Kluyveromyces lactis: one gene and its partners. The protein of the gene in region 1 interacts with the protein of each later gene in a pairwise test. Links are inferred from orthologs where the notes say so. Each region holds a gene or a part of one and is shown on either strand. Other genes may lie near its edges.

What was found.
Region 2: the proteins of NAM7 (region 1) and XRN1 interact in a two-hybrid assay, tested with the Saccharomyces cerevisiae proteins (2 studies listed by BioGRID, with this or other methods). The link is inferred for Kluyveromyces lactis from reciprocal best matches to the Saccharomyces cerevisiae genes NAM7 and XRN1.
Region 3: the proteins of NAM7 (region 1) and DBP2 interact in a two-hybrid assay, tested with the Saccharomyces cerevisiae proteins (2 studies listed by BioGRID). The link is inferred for Kluyveromyces lactis from reciprocal best matches to the Saccharomyces cerevisiae genes NAM7 and DBP2.

The regions. Positions count from the first base shown.
Region 1 is NC_006038.1:566,976-570,734, forward strand, and holds the start of NAM7 (ATP-dependent RNA helicase NAM7), read left to right. Parts: upstream 1-932; coding exon 933-3,759. Other genes in the region: MBR1 (Mbr1p), read left to right, coding at 1-449. UniProt on the Saccharomyces cerevisiae protein: RNA-dependent helicase required for nonsense-mediated decay (NMD) of aberrant mRNAs containing premature stop codons and modulates the expression level of normal mRNAs. Also capable of unwinding double-stranded DNA and translocating on single-stranded DNA.
Region 2 is NC_006042.1:2,093,991-2,096,214, forward strand, and holds the end of XRN1 (chromatin-binding exonuclease XRN1), read left to right. Parts: coding exon 1-1,606; downstream 1,607-2,224. Other genes in the region: BUD13 (Bud13p), read right to left, coding at 1,703-2,224. UniProt on the Saccharomyces cerevisiae protein: Multifunctional protein that exhibits several independent functions at different levels of the cellular processes. 5'-3' exonuclease component of the nonsense-mediated mRNA decay (NMD) which is a highly conserved mRNA degradation pathway, an RNA surveillance system whose role is to identify and rid cells of mRNA with premature termination codons and thus prevents accumulation of potentially harmful truncated proteins.
Region 3 is NC_006042.1:2,215,525-2,219,286, reverse strand, and holds the start of DBP2 (DEAD-box ATP-dependent RNA helicase DBP2), read left to right. Parts: upstream 1-1,157; coding exon 1,158-2,430; intron 2,431-3,441; coding exon 3,442-3,762. Other genes in the region: DNA-directed RNA polymerase core subunit RPC19, read left to right, coding at 349-732. UniProt on the Saccharomyces cerevisiae protein: ATP-dependent RNA helicase involved nonsense-mediated mRNA decay and ribosome biogenesis through rRNA processing. Associates directly with chromatin, correlating with transcriptional activity.

The DNA of each region.
Region 1 (3,759 bases):
GTCTCTCTTTTGGATCCCCAACTAATATCACTGACGAGGGCGCAATAGATCCTAAATCTTCCAATGGATCAAGATCGTCCATTAGCTTATCTACAAATGCCATTCCAACACACTTATACAGCTTGGAGAGATACGTAAGTTCTGAATTGGATTCAGCGACGGAATCCTTCTTTGATAAGTCAAAACAATTGTCAGACGAAGCTTCAACTCATGGAACAGAAGACACCGTCTCTTCATCGTTGGCAAAAATGTCATTACGAACTTCACCTCAAAGTTCAAATAGCACAATTGCCAATCCAAACACCTACACTAATAGAACCATACCAGAAATACCGTCAGGAACTCAATCAATTAACCAATATTCATCTTCACATCCACCACCATTTTTGGACGCAAGAAAAAGAAGAAAGTCTTTCATTGAACAGGCTTTATCAGAGAGTTTCTCATAATAAAATTCACAACCCCAGTCTTCAACCACCCTCAGTTACCCCAATCATAATCATCAGTATACCCTCATGCATCAAATATATAAACGTAATAGGACATAGACTGTCACCTAATCACTATTTAATTACCCGACTTTTGCATGCATTTGCTGATTCTTTTTTTTTTTTTTCAGTTTGTGTACTTCACATCTCATCTCACATCTCATCAGAAAATGCATCAACTTCCATACATAAAAGTATTTAATCATAATATGCTTCAACAGTTATTATTTCCTATATCACTTTATCTGTATTTTCAAGAAGTTCTGTAAATTGAGCATCTATCAATGTGCTGAGTAACATATTTTGATTTGTGACTCTGACTCATTTCTTGCGAACTTTTTTTTTTGGTTAGTTCGATCTATTCTGTTCAAAGCTATTCTTTGAAGTAGATTGTACACGACTGGTGCCTTTATTATCTCAGTACAATTAGAATCAAGTTTCCTTATGACGATGCGTTTGCCAAATGAACCGTTTGATTCAGATTCGGACTCAAACGAATCTGTTTCTTTGAGAGACGATGACGACAAAAACTTTTTCTACGATACTGATGAGATGCTGGACGAGGAATACTCTGAGTTCCACGGCACTGCTGCTAATACAGATCCTATTGCGGAACATGCTTGTGCATATTGTGGTATTGATAATACTTCATGTGTTGTCAAGTGTAACATTTGCAGCAAATGGTTTTGTAATTCGAAAAATGGTACTAATAGTTCCCATATTGTGAACCATTTAGTTTTATCCCATCATTCTTCAGTTTCATTACATCCAGACTCAGAGCTAGGAGATACTACTTTGGAATGCTACAATTGTGGACGTACTAATGTGTTTGTTCTTGGTTTTGTTCCGGCTAAGAGTGAGGCTGTTGTGGTCTTGTTGTGCAGATTGCCTTGTGCTAAAATGAAGAATGTTAATTGGGATACAGATAACTGGCAACCACTTATTGAAGAAAGGAAGATGCTATCTTGGGTGGCAGAAGAACCAAGTGAAGAAGATCAGTTGAAGGCCAGGATGATTACTCCATCTCAAATTACGAAATTGGAAGCAAGATGGAAATCAAACAAAAACGCTACAATTATGGATATTGATATGGTCGAACAAGATGAAGATATTCCTCCGACTTTGATGAGATACACTGATGCTTATCAGTACCAAAGATCATTTGGTCCTTTGATTCAGTTAGAAGCAGATTATGATAAGCAATTAAAGGAATCACAGGCCTTAGAACACATCTCTGTCACATGGGATTTAGCATTGAACAACAGACATCTAGCTACTTTTGCATTATCCACATTCGAATCTAACGAATTAAAAGTTGCCGTTGGTGATGAGATGATTTTAAAGTATAGTGGTCCACAACATGCAGATTGGACAGGAAAAGGTTTCATCATCCAGCTACCAAACAGTTTCAAAGATGAATTTACTCTTGAATTGAAACCAAGTCAAAAAACTCCACCAACTAATTGTACTACAGGATTTACAGCAGTTTTTGTATGGAGGGGAACTTCTTATATTAGAATGCAAGAAGCGTTAAGAAAATTTGCTGTCACCAAAAAATCATTATCAGGGTTCTTGTATTATAAGATATTGGGCCAAGAGGTTCCAGATGTGGAATTTGATGTAGAATTACCCAAAAGCATTTTTGTGCCTCACTTCACCGAGTTAAACCAATCTCAAAGTAATGCTGTGAAGCATGTTTTACAAAGACCTTTATCATTGATCCAGGGACCTCCTGGTACCGGTAAAACCGTCACTTCAGCTACCATTGTTTATCATTTGTCTAAAATCCACAAACAGCGTGTTTTAGTTTGTGCACCATCTAACGTTGCAGTGGATCATCTTGCTGCCAAGTTGCACAGTATGGGTTTAAAGGTAGTACGATTAACTGCTAAAAGTAGAGAAGATGTGGAGAGCTCAGTGTCCGAGTTAGCATTGCATAACTTGGTCAGCAGGTCTGCAGAAGGTAAACTCAAAAAACTTCTCAATCTTAAGGAAAAAACAGGGGAACTTTCCTCATCGGATACCACGAAATTTGTGAAGTTAGTGAGAAAATCAGAAGCTACCATCATTCAAAAAGCTGATGTTATTTGCTGTACTTGCGTCGGCGCTGGTGATAAAAGATTGGACTATAAGTTCCGCACAGTATTGATCGATGAAAGTACTCAAGCGTCAGAACCTGAATGTTTGATCCCTATCGTCAAGGGAGCCAAACAAGTTGTTCTAGTTGGTGATCATCAGCAACTTGGTCCTGTCATTTTAGATAGAAAAGCTGGTGACGCTGGTTTGAAACAATCTTTGTTTGAAAGATTAATTTCCTTGGGTCACATTCCTATTAGATTGGAAGTCCAATATAGAATGAATCCACAATTAAGCGAATTCCCAAGCAACATGTTCTACGAAGGTAGTTTACAGAATGGTGTCACCATCGAGCAACGTACTATTGCAAGATCTACCTTTCCATGGCCAATTCATACTATCCCTATGATGTTTTGGGCTAACTATGGTCGTGAAGAGATCTCAGGCAATGGTACTTCCTACTTGAACAGAATTGAAGCCATGAACTGTGAAAAGATCATTACAAGACTATTCAAAGATGGTGTCAAACCAGAACAGATTGGTGTTATAACTCCTTATGAGGGGCAGAGAGCATATGTTGTACAATATATGCAAATGAATGGTTCGATGGAAAAATCATTGTACATGGGCGTTGAAGTGGCATCAGTAGATGCTTTCCAAGGTAGAGAAAAAGACTATATTATTTTGTCTTGTGTCCGTGCCAATGAGAGAAACACCATTGGTTTCTTGAGTGACCCACGTCGTCTAAATGTTGCGTTGACTCGTGCTAAATACGGTCTAATAATATTGGGTAACCCAAGGGCACTATCTCGCAATAGCTTATGGAGTCATCTACTACTTCATTTCAGAGAAAAGGGTTGTCTTGTTGAAGGGTTTTTGGATAATTTACAACTCTGCACAGTCCAATTGACGAAACCTTCTAGGGCACCCAGGAAAGCCCCATCCAACAACAGTAGTTATACACAATATGCTGGTCAGAGAGACTTTGACACTCAAAGTTTGGTCTCATTCGGTGGCCAAAACGTCGTTGAAAAATCTTTTATTCCAAACACGGACTTGTCTTCGTTATTGAACCAACAATATTGGAATGGACAGTCTTTTGATACACAATCGCGCTTAAGTGCTACGCATCCTGTTAACCAATACGATAAAGACGCGGTCAATTTTGATGGAAGTTTATCCAATGGCTTAAGGA
Region 2 (2,224 bases), on another chromosome or scaffold:
AGAATTTCCAAAAGGTTCAAAAGTTGTGTTTTTAGGTGATTATGCGTATGGTGGGGAGGCGACCGTTGATGGTTATAATAGTGAGACTAGATTAAAACTTACAGTCAAAAAGGGTTCTCTCAGAGCAGAGCCTAACATCGGAAAAGTTAGAGCGAAATTGGATTCTCAAGCCTTGAGATTCTACCCAACACAAGTGTTTTCAAAAATAGCTCGTGTCCACCCTCTCTTCTTGTCAAAAATTACTTCAAGATATTTGGTCAATGATTCTAAAAAGAAAAGCCATAACGTCGGTTTGATGATCAAATTCAAAGCAAGAAATCAAAAAGTTCTCGGTTATGCCAGATGCAGCTCAAACAAATGGGAATACTCTGACGTCGCTCTTGGTTTGTTAGAGCAGTTCAGATCTACATTCCCTGAGTTCTTTGCGAAACTTTCTAACTCGAAGGAACAAGCAATTCCATCGATCACTGATCTCTTCCCTAACAAATCTAGCGCGGAAGCTGATTCCATTTTGAAAACAGTGGCTGATTGGCTCTCAGAAGCAAGAAAACCATTCGTGGTGGTGTCTTTGGAAAGTGATTCGCTAACCAAGGCTTCGATGGCAGCTGTTGAATCTGAAATCATAAAATACGTTTCTTTACCAGATTCAAGCGAGCAGAAGAAATTAGCTAAGGTCCCACGTGAGGCAATCTTAAATGCGGAATCGTCATATGTTCTATTGCGCTCCCAAAGGTTCCACTTAGGTGATAGGGTAATGTACATTCAAGATTCAGGCAAGGTTCCACTTCACAGCAAAGGTACTGTCGTTGGCTACACTTCAATTGGCAAGAACGTCTCAATCCAAGTTCTATTTGACAATGAAATAATTGCAGGAAACAACTTTGGTGGTAGGTTGCAGACCAGACGTGGTTTGGGATTGGACTCTTCCTTCTTATTAAACTTGTCTGATAGACAATTGGTATATCATTCAAAGGCATCGAAGAGTGCTGATAAGAAACCAAAAGCAGTTCCTAATGATAAGCAAGTCGCCCTCGCAAAAAAGAAGAGAGTGGAGGAACTCAAAAAAAAGCAAGCCCATGAGTTGTTAAATCATATCAAGAAGGATAACGCGGAATCAAATACCGAATCTGGATCCGCTCCGCAAATAGCAGTTAACACTTTAAATCCTTCGGCTGCTAACAACGTGTTCAATGCCGTCTTGAACCAAATCAAACCAGGTTCTCAACAGCAAATTCAACCACCTCCAGCAAATTCTCTGCCTTACAATTTCACTGTTCCCCCACATATGGTTCCTGGTGGTATTCCTCATCCTCTTATGATGCAGCCGCCTTTCATTCCGAATAATGAGCATATTGCTTATGCAGCTCCTCCTCAGTCACAACCTGTACAAAATCCACCATTAGATAAAGAGGCATCCAGGAATCTTAAGAATCTCCTAATTAGAGATGAGAATGGACGTACAGCAAATGTGGAGAATAAAGACTCAGATGATACAAAGAGATCTTCTCATTCTCGTGGCGGTCGTCGTGGCCGTAGTAATCGTGGTCGTGGTGCCTCCGGGAGGGGTGGTCATTTCAAAAATTCTCCTAAAAAAACTGAAACCTGAATGTTGGTTTGAATGGACTATTAACAGTAAATATTATATCACTTCAGTAAATAATGCTTAGTATATAAGAATAGAGACACTTTCAGGTTCAACTTTTCAAAATTCCCGGTTTGTTGTTTGTTCCTTTATTTTTTGATCAGCGATATCGTGACTCTTAGCAAACCACTTAGTTTCAAACCCATTTGATCTATCAACTCCATCCCATCTATAACCGGGAACGATACCGAACCGATTTTCTGGAAAGTTTTTCTCGTAAAGCCTTCGACCCAACAGTGACGTATTCGTTCCTCGCAGGGTGTTTCCTTGATTCAATGGATCTTCGGTTGATAATAATGCACTTTTCTCAGTTTTGCGATCAAGTTTTGATATTTGTACTTCGCCTATATTTCGTATTTTAAGTTCTTCTTCCTTACGTACTTTCGCTGTCAAATTAGCCTTTTCTCGAAGTTTCAATTCTTCTTCGTATCCATCTATTACCTTACCTTTTTCGTCTCTATATACTGTGTTCTGATTCTTCTTGAGAAGCCCTGATTTTTGCATAGAAAGTTTTTCCTTTTCTGCGATCTGCTTTTCCATCTCTTCTGCTGTCTGTAACCCAGCAAAGGCGCCTGACGACAT
Region 3 (3,762 bases), on another chromosome or scaffold:
TTTACTTTGCTTTTTGTTCGGGATCCGTTGTTTATATACTATGGTGTGGTACCCTGAGCGTGGCTATGAGCAACACCTGTGCATTGCGCGGTAACTGATGAAGTGTGTGACACGTGATCTGGTATTTCGCATCAACTTGCTTCTTTCAGTTACCCGGTCAAGACCGGGTAAGCTTTTTGTTTTTTCCTTTAGCATGATTTGGTTTTCCCTCTTCTCTCTATCGAAAAAACCATAATCAATATTGACAAATTGTTCAGCTTAACAGAGTAGGTCATCTCGTCTTATTGACTGTTTGAAAGAAGTACGCACAAACCACCTAAGTGACCATTCATAAGCGCTCTCGGAAATATGGCTGAAGTGGAAAAGCAAGATGTTGATATGCTAGCAGCTGAACAAAATGATCAAGTTGATCAAGTGGAGGAAGAAGTGGACAGTGAAAAGATCAAACTTCTCACAGAAGCTACTTCCGAAGATGGTACTAGTGCTTCTTTCAGAATAACAGATGAAGATCATACCCTTGGTAACACGCTTCGTTATATGATCATGAAAAACCCGGAGGTAGAATTCTGTGGTTACTCTATTCCTCATCCTTCAGAAAACTTTTTGCACATTAGAATTCAAACATACGGCAAAATTACTGCTGTAGAGGCTTTGCACAAGGGTCTTGGAGATCTAATGGACATGTGTGATGCTGTAGAGGACAGATTCACGCAAAGAATCAGGGAAATGTAGAAATTGGTTATCTCCAGCTCCCGCATTAACTATATATAAGAGAATAGAATTAAATACACAACTACATCATCCTTGTATAATACACTATAATATCTATTGATTCTACGTTTATAGCTACTGGTAATCTAGCACATTGGAAGCACCGTTGGATATACCATTGGCAAAAGTAGCTGGAGTGGCTAATGTAATCACGTGACCATTTTGGTAAATTGGTACATTGGTACAAATTTCTTTTTCTCTCTTTTTTGTTTCTTTTTGAAAAATTTGCAAGTTCCCTCATCGCCCTTTGAAACTAATATATAAGCTGCAAACATTATTCAAACCTGTCTCTGATCCTCGTTCATTCAGTATTACAAGTGTGCATTTTTTTTTATCGTTTGGTTCTCAACATCAAGCAACTTATTTCACACATTATACAGAGAACAATGAGTTTCGGCGGTGGAAGAGATCATCAATTTAACAGAAACAACATGGGCAGCACTCATGGTGACTTCCGTGGTAGCAGAGGTTCTGACAGAAACAGCTACAACAGAGGTAATGACTTCCGCGGTGGCCGTAGCTTTGGTCGTGGTCCATCTCGTGATACCAGAGTTGATTTGGTCGCTCCAAACTGGGACGAAGAACTACCAAATTTGCCAGTTTTCGAAAAGAATTTTTACCAAGAACATCCAGATGTTGCTCAAATGAGTGAAAGTGAAGTTATCGAATTTAGAAAGGAAAACGAAATGACCATTTCTGGTCATGACGTTCCAAAACCTATCAGAAGTTTTGATGAAGCTGGTTTCCCATCTTATGTCTTGGATGAAGTTAAGCAAGAAGGTTTCGCCAAACCAACTGGTATTCAATGCCAAGGTTGGCCTATGGCTTTGTCTGGTAGAGATATGATTGGTGTCGCTGCGACCGGTTCCGGTAAGACCTTATCATACTGTTTACCAGGTATCGTTCATATTAATGCTCAACCTTTGCTATCTCCAGGTGATGGTCCAATTGTTTTGGTATTGGCTCCAACCAGAGAATTAGCTGTTCAAATTCAAAAAGAATGTTCCAAATTTGGTGCTTCCTCTAGAATTAGAAACACTTGTGTCTATGGTGGTGTTCCAAAGTCTCAACAAATCAGAGATTTACAGAGAGGTGTAGAAATCCTGATTGCTACTCCAGGTAGATTGATTGACATGTTGGAAATTGGTAAGACAAACTTGAAAAGAGTCACTTACCTTGTCTTGGATGAAGCTGATAGAATGTTGGATATGGGTTTCGAACCTCAAATCAGAAAAATTGTCGATCAAATTAGACCTGATAGACAAACTTTGATGTGGTCCGCTACTTGGCCAAAGGAAGTTAAACAATTGGCAAGTGACTATTTGCATGATCCAATTCAAGTTCAAATTGGTTCTTTGGAATTGTCTGCATCCCACACAATCACTCAGATCGTCGAAGTCCTTACTGATTTCGAAAAGAGAGATAGATTGGCCAAGCATTTGGAAACCGCTTCTCAAGATCAAGACTCCAAGATCATCATTTTTGCTTCCACTAAGAGAACTTGTGATGAGATCACTTCTTATTTGAGAACTGAAGGCTGGCCAGCTTTGGCCATTCACGGTGACAAGGCTCAGAACGAGCGTGATTGGGTTTTGGCTGAGTTTAGGTCCGGTAGATCTCCTATCATGGTAGCAACTGATGTTGCTGCTAGAGGTATTGGTATGTTATTGAAATTTAATTTTTTCAGCATTGGTTTGAACTTTAGTTTACATTGAGACTATCGTCAAACCTTTCTACTAACTATATTAGACAACTGTCGAAGTCATTTCTTTCGAAATGATCACGATATGCCTTTTTATTCGAATGACACGGATGTTTTCGATTCAAAGGTAAAAAATAATGAGCTGGTCTTATTATTTATCAACGAAATCCTATTGGATTTGGTGCGGACAGAGAAAAGGATATGAAAATACTTTTCATTTTGACTTCCACAATTATTGATAAAGATTTAGAGACTTGACCAGTCCGATGTGATTTGATTTATTCAGATCTCTAGAATTAAAAGTAGATTGGCAAGCTTACTAGTATTCATGACAATCAGGTTTTGATTGGACCGTTGGGTTCGAATGTGTGGTGAAGTAGCTTTTACACAACGTGGTTTTCTCGTTGCATTGAAGGCTGTGATGAATTACCGGACATTCGATACTTTTTCTAATCATGTTATCAATTTGACATCTCTTTGATGCAATTTTGCTGAAAGATGTTCTTTATTTTTAACATGATCGTTTGAGTTAGATCAGATTCGCGTATCATTAATTGTGCTTAGTAGTAGATTGGAACATGAACCTAATGAAATAAGGATTCATTCATTTTAACAAAGAGGTTAAAGAATTAAAAAACTGATAAAATAGCGTCACAGGATGGTTTCCCTGTTATGCAAAGTGTGCATTCAGTTTTATTTTTGCGATTCCTCTTAGTAGTTGTTCCATGTATTCTATGAAGTTAGAAAGAAAAGTACATATTTGCGACATAAGCAAGCCTTACATAAATCTTTGTCTTCCACCGACTATTCTGACATGAATAAGCCGCGCGGGCTAATGTTATAATAAATCGTTGATTGCGCCCTCTGGATTTTATATTCTCATTTGGAAGTGCTTCGAACTTGTGCTGTCAATATAGTTACCATTACGATTTACGAACGAACTTACTAACTTCATTCTTATTCAACAGACGTCAAGGGTATTAATTACGTTATCAATTACGATATGCCAGGCAACATCGAAGATTATGTGCATAGAATTGGTAGAACTGGTAGAGCCGGTTCTACTGGTACTGCCATCTCCTTCTTCACTGAAGGCAATAAATCTCTGGGTGCTGCTTTGATCAAGATTATGAGAGAAGCTAAACAAGATATTCCAGAAGAACTAAGAAGATACGACAGGGGTCAATACGGCCAACATCCAAGATATGGTGGCGGCCGTGGTGGTCGTGGCTTTGGTGGTGGCCGTGGTGGCCGTGGCTTTGGTGGCCGTGGTGATGGTGGTTACGGTG